Caenorhabditis elegans: one gene and its partners. The protein of the gene in region 3 interacts with the protein of the main gene of each other region in a biochemical or structural test. Each region holds a gene or a part of one and is shown on either strand. Other genes may lie near its edges. The genes, in order: lmn-1, baf-1 and emr-1.

Region 1 (5,125 bases), 6.9 Mb from region 3:
GGCCGACAATTTCCGATTTTCGCCACTCACTATACTTAATCAGCAATTTTATAGTGAGTGGCGAAACTCGGAAATTGTCGGCCGTCGTGGATAGCTACCCCCAACCGGACGCATGTGCGTCCGGTTCGGACGACCGGACGTCCGGTTGTACAGCCCTAATTTTATATACTCAATTGTTAATCTGCATATTACCAAGAGACATGTTTTGCCCAAGTTCCTCTCACATTTAATCGATTCTCTTGTTTTTTCATTTCAATCTTTTTAGGGATCAAATGTGTTTTAGAGATGCAGGTGTCTAGAGAAAATTGTTTTCCTACTCTTTCATTTCGTATTCTTTTCATTTCACCAAACTTCTCTCTCGCGGCTAATCTCGCCTTCATAATAGAAATTTAGCTTCTAATTTTCGTGCTATACTAATATTCTACCACATGGTCACATCAAATGAGATAAAAACTGTCAACGCGCCAAAATGACACTCTCCCATTGATTTATTGCCCTTTGTCTCTGTGCGTCGACGCTCTAGTGCTCTTTCCAGATGTTGTTTCCTTCTCTTCTCAGCCTCCTTCTCTAGAATTCATTCATTCTGTGTCAAACACCAAAGAAGAACGACATTGTCTTCTCTCACACAAGACTGCTTATGATTTCTCGCTTCCTTCATCTGGCTCTGAATATGTCTTTCAATGGTACATGTTTATTGTTAATCGCCGAGTTTCAAAATTTACACTATCCATATAAAAAAGCGGCAAAACCTCAAAATTTCAGATGTTTGACCACTTCTCTAATACTCTCATCATGCCTCTCCATTATTCGTTCTATTTAACCCTGTACTGGCATGTTGCCAAGTTGTGTATATGTATGTTGTTTACCATATGCACACGTCTTTCCTGCTTCTCTACTTCTCTAGTCATTGGGACCGTGAGCATAAAAAACGAAAGAAAAACTTGAAAATAGTGCGCGAAACGGGAGAGATCAGAGATGAAGGGGTACGCAGCGCTCACTCGCGCGACTAAAGAGAGAGCATTGGCCTGGGCCATTGCCCTTCGAAACAAGATCGAGCGTTTTTCATCGTTTTTGAACCCTCGAAACTCCTACATATCACCTCTCATGCAACTTTTTTACACTAATTTGTGTAATTTGATATCCTATCTTATAGTTTATCAGGTCATTTCTCTTTTGTAGTAGTCCGAAAGTTTTGATTGATCGAATTTCGAAATTCTCCCTAAATTTTCGAAATTTTGTTACTTTCAAATTGACGCGACATGGACGGTCAATCAAAACCAAACAAGTATGCGAGAAATTCCCTTTTCTCTCTTTTTCTCTAATCATTTCAGTCCCATCTGCCTAGTTCTATCGGCAATTTGTGGAAGTGCGCAGATGATTTTTGAAGGCGAGGTGATAACGCCCTGCTAAAGCATTCTTATTCACGAGAGTTTCAAAAAACTATTGAAACGAGGTAAATCTTAGTTGAGTATACCTTGACAATTGTAGTTCTTTGCCGAGTTGCCTAATGTTTGAATTCAACGCTACTTACTGACTATGTTTATGCTTTTGTTTACGTCACTCTCACAAATGTTCCTTATTTCTCTACTATATTTCTTTCTGTTGAAACATTTAAAAAACGAAACAACACACATCTATGTGGAATACTGCCATCTGCCGATTTTGAGGTCACTTGGCGCGCCGTAACTCGCAAATAACCTAACAGCGCCAGATTTTTCGACAAACACACGCTTTCCGAAGTGGTATACACAACGGCCGTGTCCGCATGTTTGCCACACTTCTTTTGAGACAGAAAACTTTTGTTGTATAAAAATTTTATCACAAGAAATATCAAAATGTTGAGTCACGTTCGTGTGGCGCCTATGACGTTTCCTCTCTTCTCTTACATCTCTCTTTGTCTATTTCTGAAACTAAATCCAATATAATTAACTCTTCAGAAAGCAGCGAGAAAAATGTCATCTCGTAAAGGTACTCGTAGTTCTCGTATTGTTACGCTAGAGCGCTCAGCGAATTCGTCGCTAAGCAACAATGGAGGAGGCGACGATTCATTGTGAGTTTTTATTTTGCTTCTCTAGTTCCTGCACTCATAAACGCATTTCTTGTGTTATCTAAAAAAAAACTCGATGAAATGCTTTTCAGTGGCTCAACGCTTCTAGAAACTTCACGTCTTCAAGAGAAAGATCATTTGACTTCACTCAACAGTCGTCTTGCCACTTACATCGACGTGAGTTTTAATTTGGAAAGTATTCATATTTGAAAGTACACTTTTCAGAAAGTTCGTCAATTGGAGCAAGAGAACAACAGACTCCAGGTTCAAATTCGCGACATCGAAGTTGTTGAAAAGAAAGAGAAGTCAAACTTGGCCGATCGCTTCGAGGCGGAAAAGGTACACTTTGTTTATATTCTGATCGCCAAAGGTGTTCTGTGGGAAACTGATGCGGTGGTCTTATTATTCTCGCCGCGGTAAAGTAACAATGCAAATATAAGCTCTCGTTTTGGACGAATGATAAGTGTTGGAATATAGATTATTTGTATTTTCAGGCTCGTCTCCGTCGTGCCCTCGATTCGGCTCAAGATGAGCTCGCAAAATACAGGATCGAGTATGACGCTGCAAAGGTTGAAGTAAAGAAGTTGAAGCCACAAGTCGAAAAACTTGAGAGAGAACTCGCTGGAGCTGAGGAACAAGCCCTCCATGCCCAATCTATTGCTGATCAAAGTCAAGCAAAACAGAAGACGTTGCAGGCACGCAACGATAAATTGGTGGTGGAGAATGATGTAAGAAATTTTAATTTTATCAAAAGTAAATGTTCAATTTTGTTGTTTTCAGGATCTCAAAAAGCAGAACATCACTCTTCGTGACACCGTAGAAGGACTCAAGAAAGCCGTTGAAGATGAAACTCTTCTCCGAACAGCCGCCAACAATAAAATCAAGGCTCTGGAAGAAGATCTCGCTTTTGCTCTTCAACAGCACAAGGGAGAACTTGAAGAAGTTCGTCACAAGAGACAGGTCGACATGACAACCTACGCCAAGCAGATTAATGATGAGTATCAATCTAAGCTTCAAGATCAAATCGAAGAGATGCGTGCTCAGTTCAAGAACAATTTGCATCAAAACAAAACAGCTTTCGAAGATGCCTACAAAAACAAGCTCAATGCTGCTCGTGAACGCCAAGAGGAGGCTGTATCCGAAGCAATCCATCTTCGTGCCCGTGTTCGTGACTTGGAGACATCAAGCAGTGGAAATGCTTCGCTCATCGAACGTCTTCGTTCAGAGCTCGACACTCTGAAGAGATCGTTCCAAGAGAAGCTCGACGACAAGGATGCTCGAATTGCTGAACTTAATCAAGAGATCGAGCGCATGATGAGCGAGTTCCACGATCTTCTTGATGTTAAAATCCAATTGGACGCCGAACTCAAGACCTACCAAGCTCTCCTTGAGGGTGAGGAGGAGCGTCTCAATCTTACTCAGGAGGCGCCACAAAACACTTCAGTTCATCACGTCTCGTTTTCATCCGGAGGAGCAAGCGCTCAGCGCGGAGTGAAGCGTCGTCGCGTTGTCGATGTAAATGGAGAGGACCAAGACATTGATTATCTCAACCGTCGCTCCAAACTCAACAAAGAGACTGTTGGCCCAGTTGGAATCGACGAGGTTGATGAGGAAGGAAAGTGGGTCCGTGTTGCAAACAACTCTGAAGAAGAACAATCCATCGGAGGATACAAGTTGGTGGTCAAAGCTGGAAACAAAGAAGCCTCCTTCCAATTTTCATCTCGTATGAAGCTCGCTCCACATGCTAGCGCCACCGTTTGGTCTGCGGATGCTGGTGCCGTTCACCACCCACCAGAAGTCTACGTTATGAAGAAGCAACAGGTTGGTCAATTATTTTAAAATATTTCTGTCTTACTTTCATGAATAGAAGAAACAAAAAATGTTCATTGTAATTACAATTTTCAGTGGCCAATTGGAGATAACCCATCAGCTCGTCTTGAGGATAGTGAAGGAGACACTGTTTCTTCTATCACCGTTGAATTCAGCGAATCATCGGATCCATCGGACCCAGCCGATCGTTGTTCCATCATGTAATTGAGAGTCGATATTACATCAATCCATTTGGACCTCATTTTTACATCTATCTCTTCCTAATATTCCTTCTTGTTGTGTTGTCCTCGAGAGTTACACTGATCCTCTTCTTTTTCTCTGTCCCTCCTACGTTTTAACCGTGTTCTTGTTGTTAATATACTAGAATATGGCAATAATTTTGTTTTAAGGAAATCTCGAAATTTCACTGCCCTCTTTCCAAGAACACACCTTTCCCTAAGACTAGATCCAATTTCCATTTTTTTGAATTCATTGAGCTCACCGTCAAAATGTAAAATAGCTCGTTTTTAACCATTTGCAACAAAAGCATCAATCAAACTCCCTGTCTTCCAATGATGTTTCTTCCAACTTACCGATCGGTGTCGCTCATTAAAATTTCAAAGTGTATTTCGTTTATTTAACTTCAAAAACATGAAATATTTCTTTTCTTTCTTTACAACTCGTCTATCGTCTATTTTTTTAGGTTTATTCCATACATTTCTAAGATGGTTATGACATATAATTAGGATATGCAAGTACCGATTAAGCCAACTGTTTTTCTTTTCGAATCTATTCACTATTGAGCTCAAATGAGCACATGACAGTCGGTTAAGTGAGGTCATTGCATCACACAATAATAGAGGAGAACGTATTGAATACGGTAATTGGTTCGAATTTCTTGACAAAAATAAGCCCGTTTAGTTCAAAAACTGTAAATCTAAACAAGCCTCGATTCGAAAACTCGTAAAATCTCAGAATTAATACGCCTTTTTCACACCCCTTTTGTCAAAGCGGCTGTGGAAAAGTCAAACATTTGCGATTAGTTTGCTGGCGTTGTCCAATTGTCGAAATGTAAAATGAGATGGACATTTTTATGGGAAATCATCAAAGAGAATTGTTACGGTATCTCATTCCGACATACAGTAAAACTGATAAATGAGAAATAAACTGAGGTTACTGATCGAATAGTAGGTTTGAAGCAAGAAGCTTATTTTATTTATTGAAATTTTCGAAACTAAAAATTGAGAATCTGTAGAACAAACTTGATGA
Region 2 (2,893 bases), on a different chromosome or scaffold from region 3:
GATCACCATGTCCGACGATAAATTAGACACTCTTCCGGATCTTCAATCGGAAACGTCACATGTCACAACTCCTCACAGGGTACATTAATAGTGAAAATTAACAAGATGATGTTTTATTAAATATCAATTTCAGCAAAATGATCTTCTTCGTCAAGCGGTCACTCATGGAAGGCCACCACCAGTTCCGAGCACATCAACTTCTGGAAAGAAACGAGAAATGTCTGAACTACCGTGGTCAGATTTTTTTGATGAAAAGAAGGACGCAAACATTGATGGAGATGTTTTCAATGTGTACATAAAGGGAAATGAAGGTCCAATTTTCTATTTGCTTCACGGTGGAGGTTATTCAGGCCTCACATGGGCGTGTTTTGCGGTATGTTTTGTTCTATTCTAGTGTCAGTCATTAATGGTTCTGTTCAGAAAGAATTGGCAACTTTAATATCATGCAGAGTTGTTGCACCTGATTTAAGAGGACACGGCGACACTAAATGTTCTGATGAGCACGATCTTTCGAAAGAAACCCAAATAAAGTGAGGTTTCGCTTTGATAAGTTTTGTAACTTCTATCGACATATTGTAGAGATATTGGAGCAATCTTCAAGAACATTTTCGGCGAAGACGATTCACCAGTATGCATTGTTGGACACAGTATGGGTGGTGCATTGGCCATTCATACATTGAATGCAAAGATGATTTCTTCAAAAGTCGCTGCACTCATTGTCATTGATGTTGTCGAAGGTTCCGCTATGGAAGCACTTGGAGGAATGGTTCATTTTTTACATTCAAGGCCTTCTTCATTTCCTTCTATCGAAAAAGCCATTCACTGGTGCCTTTCTTCGGGTACAGCGAGGAATCCCACAGCTGCACGGGTCTCAATGCCGTCTCAAATTAGAGAAGTATCGGAACACGAGTACACTTGGCGAATTGATTTAACAACAACAGAACAGTACTGGAAAGGATGGTTTGAAGGATTATCCAAAGAATTTTTGGGATGTTCCGTTCCGAAGATGCTTGTTCTAGCGGGCGTTGATCGGCTGGACAGGGATCTCACAATTGGTCAAATGCAGGGAAAGTTTCAGACTTGTGTGTTACCAAAAGTTGGACATTGTGTTCAGGTAAATGTTATACTCAATTAATAATTTATATAAATTGTCTTGCAGGAAGATAGCCCACAAAATCTTGCAGATGAAGTCGGAAGATTCGCTTGCCGCCATAGAATTGCCCAACCGAAATTCTCAGCCCTTGCATCACCACCAGATCCAGCGATTCTCGAATACAGAAAACGTCATCACCAATAATTGCTCATTTTGTTTTCCAATATTTTCACAACATTTCTATACAAGTTAAGAAAAAAATATTTTATATGAAAAGATTATCGATTAAATTTCCCGTCTTTTTAGTTCTTGGGAATAATAAATGTCAGCGACATACGAATGAATCGATTATTTTAGAGGAGAGGCAGATGCCAAAAAATTACAGTCAAAAAGAAGTATTCGTGAAAGAGTGCGCAAATCGAGAGACGCAGACAGAATGCAAACGCGCTCCGCTGAACTGTGGCCGCCAAGCGTTTCGTTTAAAAGGGAGCGTTGTCTATTTTCCTATCTATTCTTGCCAGTTTTATTTTATTTCGCAACTATCTTTTTACTACGATTTTCGAAAATATTTTCAAATTCAAGAATGTAATTATTTTGTGTTTCAGAAACCATGTCGACTTCTGTTAAGCATCGTGAGTTCGTCGGAGAGCCAATGGGCGACAAAGAAGTCACATGCATCGCCGGGATCGGGCCAACATATGGCACCAAGCTCACCGATGCAGGCTTCGATAAAGTATGTAGATTTTTTTTTCTCAAATTTTCGATCAATGTTAAAATTTGAATTTCAGGCCTACGTACTGTTCGGACAGTATCTCCTTCTGAAGAAAGACGAGGATTTGTTTATCGAATGGCTGAAAGAGACGGCTGGAGTGACTGCAAATCACGCGAAGACGGCGTTCAATTGTTTGAACGAGTGGGCAGATCAGTTCATGTAAACTGCTCAATATTTCTGCTAAGCATCGATTTGATTCTCCTCTATAATCATCAATGGCCATATTTGCACTTCGAAAAACACCATTTGTTCCAGTGTAGTCGTTTTCCGCTTTGCGACTATGCCCCATTTCAAATTAATCTGTTTCTGAAATATTTCTCATACTTCCAAGTTTTCCCCCTTGTCGTGTGGTCTTGGACTACGGTTCTTGTTTTGTTTTTGACTTTAATTTTGCGATTTTTCTCCCTCCAAATAAAATATTTTCTACGATCCTGAAGAGTGTTTCTAAGTTTTTTATTACGAAAGTTGTCGTTCGAAAGTTTACTTGGAATAAAAACAATATTTTCTATTCTATGGTGATTTCCAGATGCCTCCGAAAAGGGCTGTGAAAAAGAAGGTACAGACCACAGAAAAAGCTCGCCCAACATTGGATCAGGAGATAAAATGTGAGCATTTTTACACGGGTTGGCGGCAATTCGACAATTATCGAAGTTAAAAATTAATTTTTTTTTTCAAAAAATATACTGAAAAATACATTTTCAAATGTGTGTTTCCAAAAAAGTTTCGGATTTGTTACAATATTCACACGGAATTTATTTTTTCAGTAGATGACTCAAATGAGCTTGAACCATCGATTCGAAGTGTTGTGACGAGTTTGATGTTCACTTCGGGAGACGACGAAAATCCACTTTCTGAAAATGAAGATTTCGTTGTGAATATACTGAAAAACGAGTTGGTTCTCTTTATTAACGATGTTATAGAGGTTTATGATAATAAGTAAGCAGATTTTTTTTTTCCGAAATAATTCAAACATTTACAGAATTCCAAATGTGAAGCTACAACATATGCTTCAACTTCTCAACAGTCAA
Region 3 (3,314 bases):
CCCAGATTGGCTCGAGCACAACTGGTCCAGAGCTGCCGCTGCTTCGCTTTCCGAACTGGAGAGGCCGATAGTCGCGTTTTCCGAACTGCAATGGACGGTACCCATCTCGCTTGCCGAACTGCAATTTATGTGTGTATAATATTTTTAACTTTTTTTAAAATGTCTTGTTCCCTACCTGAAGTGGCCGGTAATCGCGATCCTGACGGTCAAACGTCGGCGACTGTGTTGCAAAAACTGTAAAAAAAACGGAAGTAATTTTTAGAAAAAAAATTGGCCTAAAAATTGGCCTAAAAATAGTATTAAAACGACGAACCCTCCACGAATACGAGGATGAGCATGAGCAGGGCGCAGCTGTGGTGGCGGAGCATTTTGTCGGAGGCAATTGAAATAAGTTTCGCCGAGTCGAGGTGTCGGGCTTTTATACCACCCCCCCCCCCATCAGTAAACTACAGATTCGTCATATTTCCCAACGGAGCCGGGGGGACCACGCCTTTCCCCCCTACCATTTTGGTTAGCTTCTGGAGTTGATGGGCTCGTAAAAACTGAGAGAGAGATTCATAGCGTTTATCCAAATGAAGTGATGAAAATGGGGTGAAAGGATTTAAAGAAAAAGAGTGATGGGGGAGGGAGAGGGGTAAAAATAGCGATTTCAACAGTCAAAGAAAAAAATAGAAATTTAAAAAATAATTTAAATAGTATCCTCCGGATTCGTCTCGGCCACGAGCTTCAACTGCTCGGCGTTCTCGATCAAGAAGTAGGCGAAGACGGCGATGAAGACGAAGAGAATTGTGAATGTGATCTGGAAAATAGAAAATAAGTTTTTATTGCCAGAAAAAGGGCGAAAAACTCACCGTGCTTCCCAAGAATCCTCCTTTGTTGCTCTGAGCTTGACGAGCCGATGCCCGATCGGCGGCCATTTCCTCTTCCGTCAAGTATCGCATCGACTCCTCGCAATCGTCGCTGTCCGATTCGGGAGAGGTAGTAGCTGCCGCTGTTGCAGCTGACACGTTCTGGAAAACTCGTTGTGGCGGTGATTTCTTCGGTGACGAGCTGATGATCAATGAATCCTCGTTGAATTGAGAGTCGTTGAGATTTGATTGATCTGGAAATTAGAGGTTCGAAAACTTTAAAAATGTTATTTAGAAATTAATAAATAATTTAAATTCAAATCCTCACTGTTAATGCTTCCGTCTGATAACTTGATAAGCTTCTTCTCGTAGAGCTTGCGGGTCGTCGCCACAATTGGCCCAACAGAAACCCCGTGGCTTTTAAGGCTATCGCGTAGTTCGGCATCTGTCAGCTGGGAGACGTCCATTTTTTGTGAGATGGTCTGGAAAAAGCAAAAAATGACAATTTTCAAGCAAAAATTGAGGAAAACGAGCGATTTTCTACCTAAAATCTTGAGAAAATCGTTTATTTATTGAACATTTTACCAAAAAAATTAAAAATGCCCATTTTTTGTGAGATGGTCTGGAAAAGGCAAAAAAATGACAATTTTCGAGCAAAAATTGAGGAAGGGCGATTTTCTACTTAAAAAATGGTTTATTCATTGATTTTTCACCGAAAAAATGAAAAATTCTACAAAAAACTGATTAAAAACAGGAGAAAATGAAAAATTATGAAAAAATAATTTCAAACCCAAGTCAAATTGGCTGAGAGACAACGCGACGGCGAGAGACGCAGAGTGGACGGGTCTCGTCACGATATCGCTTTGTGTCGATTTACGGAGGAATTTCCAGCCCGCAGATTTAAATCAATGATTTTCGCGCGCGCTTTTTTTCCTGAATCATGATTCGAATCATACATAAATAAAATACGGAAAACGAGGTTTTTTTAATAAAGTTTCAACCATTTCTTTTTGTCCACAAAACATTTACATAAAATTAGATCAATGTTAATAGAAATAAATATGAAATTAAAAACTATCGCAAAAAGTCGATACAATAATGGGGAAGAAGAAGGGGGGATGGTGTGTGGATGGGGGATGGTTTTTTTTTCGGTTGAGAAGAAGAAGAAGGAAAAATGACAAAAAAAAATCGATGAAAAATGGAAAAAAATAGGGTGGGGGGGAGGATTTCGAGGTTAGCTTGATGGGAAAAAAATATGAAAAACGGGATTTTTAGGGTAAGGGTGAAGTTTGGGGAGGGGAGTGGAGAAAGCATTCGATAATTTTCGAAAAAAATATGGTGAAAACTCAAAAAAAACGTTATAATATTTGAATTATGTGGATGTGGGTGGGAGAAATTGAAGTTGAGGAGGAAAAAAAAACTATGTCCAACACGAAAAATGTGTTTTTTTTGTGGTTAGAATTGTTAGAAAGGTAAAAAAAATAAAAATTTGAATCAAGACAAAAAAAAACGAAAGAAGCGGCGGTTTGTTGTGGGGATTTTTGTGAGAAAAAAAAAGACAAAAAAAAAAATTTTTTTTGTGAATGACAGAGAGACTAGGTGGTGTTTTTGCATGCCGGAAACTAGGTTGATGGGTAGGGAAGGATGTGAAAACCGACTTTTTGTGATGATAAATGAGTATAGACAGGACAGAAAGAGAGAGAGAGAGAGAGAGAGAGAAGTTTTGTTTCTTTTTGCATTAGCTATATCAGAAAGCACATCCAAAAAAAGAAGAAAAAAGTGCTTATATGGAAAGAATATTCGGGAGGAGCATTTGTTTTAGGGAGGAAAATGAGAAAATAAGAAAATAAGGAAGAGATGGAGAGAGAGACAGACAGAGAGAGAAAGTTTTTTGCAAAAAAAAAACAAAAATTAGAAGGAGTACAAGAAAATGTTTCCTAGGTTTAGGTGGTGGTGTCTCACTCGACCCAGTGAGAGAGAGAGAGAGAGAGAGATGGATCATCATCATCATCATCCAATCCGACATGCGACTTTCTTCTTACACCAAGTTGTACTCCTTCAGATTATGCTGTAGAATTGTGTCTTTGACGGCGGCGAACACGAACCGAATGTTTTCCGTATCTGAAATAGAGGTCCCTTTTATTTGAAAATTTTAGATATTTTTAAACAATTTTTTAGTAATTCGCCATGAGCAACTCTAAGTGTCCATGGGACACCGAATCGGTAACCCGTGGCTACCATAAGTGCTTTTCTCGAACACGGAGTTCTGGCTTCCCTGGAAGAGTTTGGGCCATTTTAGCTCGCCCATATCTGGAGTAGATTTACGGCGCGTTGCGTGTCGCGGCTCAATTCTAGTTGTAAAACTGAATTTATTTATCCGTGTGGAGTACACGACTTTATCCGGCAGACACGATTGTCAATGGAGCGCGAAAATTCAATGAAGAAGGCTAGAACCCCGTGCTCGAA

What was found.
Region 1: the proteins of emr-1 (region 3) and lmn-1 form a complex in vitro, tested with the Caenorhabditis elegans proteins (one study listed by BioGRID).
Region 2: the proteins of emr-1 (region 3) and baf-1 form a complex in vitro, tested with the Caenorhabditis elegans proteins (one study listed by BioGRID).

Annotation. Positions count from the first base shown.
Region 1 is NC_003279.8:8,761,104-8,766,228, forward strand, and holds lmn-1 (Lamin-1), read left to right. Parts: upstream 1-1,937; 5' UTR 1,938-1,952; coding exon 1,953-2,050; intron 2,051-2,139; coding exon 2,140-2,224; intron 2,225-2,272; coding exon 2,273-2,386; intron 2,387-2,541; coding exon 2,542-2,775; intron 2,776-2,827; coding exon 2,828-3,868; intron 3,869-3,952; coding exon 3,953-4,081; 3' UTR 4,082-4,528; downstream 4,529-5,125. UniProt on the Caenorhabditis elegans protein: Major component of the nuclear lamina, a fibrous layer on the nucleoplasmic side of the inner nuclear membrane. Provides a framework for the nuclear envelope and probably also interacts with chromatin.
Region 2 is NC_003281.10:9,465,766-9,468,658, forward strand, and holds baf-1 (Barrier-to-autointegration factor 1), read left to right. Parts: upstream 1-1,698; 5' UTR 1,699-1,703; coding exon 1,704-1,826; intron 1,827-1,881; coding exon 1,882-2,028; 3' UTR 2,029-2,293; downstream 2,294-2,893. Other genes in the region: B0464.9 (putative protein phosphatase methylesterase 1), read left to right, coding at 8-79, 134-373, 421-530, 580-1,114, 1,160-1,297; tag-342 (transcription initiation factor TFIID subunit 13 family protein), read left to right, coding at 2,392-2,470, 2,630-2,801, 2,845-2,893. UniProt on the Caenorhabditis elegans protein: DNA-binding protein which plays an essential role in nuclear envelope formation. Required for normal chromosome segregation during mitosis. Associates with the nuclear lamina via its interaction with LEM domain containing proteins emr-1 and lem-2.
Region 3 is NC_003279.8:1,840,461-1,843,774, reverse strand, and holds emr-1 (Emerin homolog 1), read right to left. Parts: upstream 1,331-3,314; 5' UTR 1,316-1,330; coding exon 1,177-1,315; intron 1,103-1,176; coding exon 852-1,102; intron 800-851; coding exon 689-799; 3' UTR 553-688; downstream 1-552. Other genes in the region: nlp-12 (Neuropeptide-Like Protein), read right to left, coding at 1-118, 176-234, 314-368; egl-30 (Guanine nucleotide-binding protein subunit alpha), read right to left, coding at 2,887-2,969. UniProt on the Caenorhabditis elegans protein: Nuclear lamina-associated inner nuclear membrane protein that is involved in cell division, nuclear structure organization, maintenance of nuclear envelope integrity and nuclear envelope reformation after mitosis.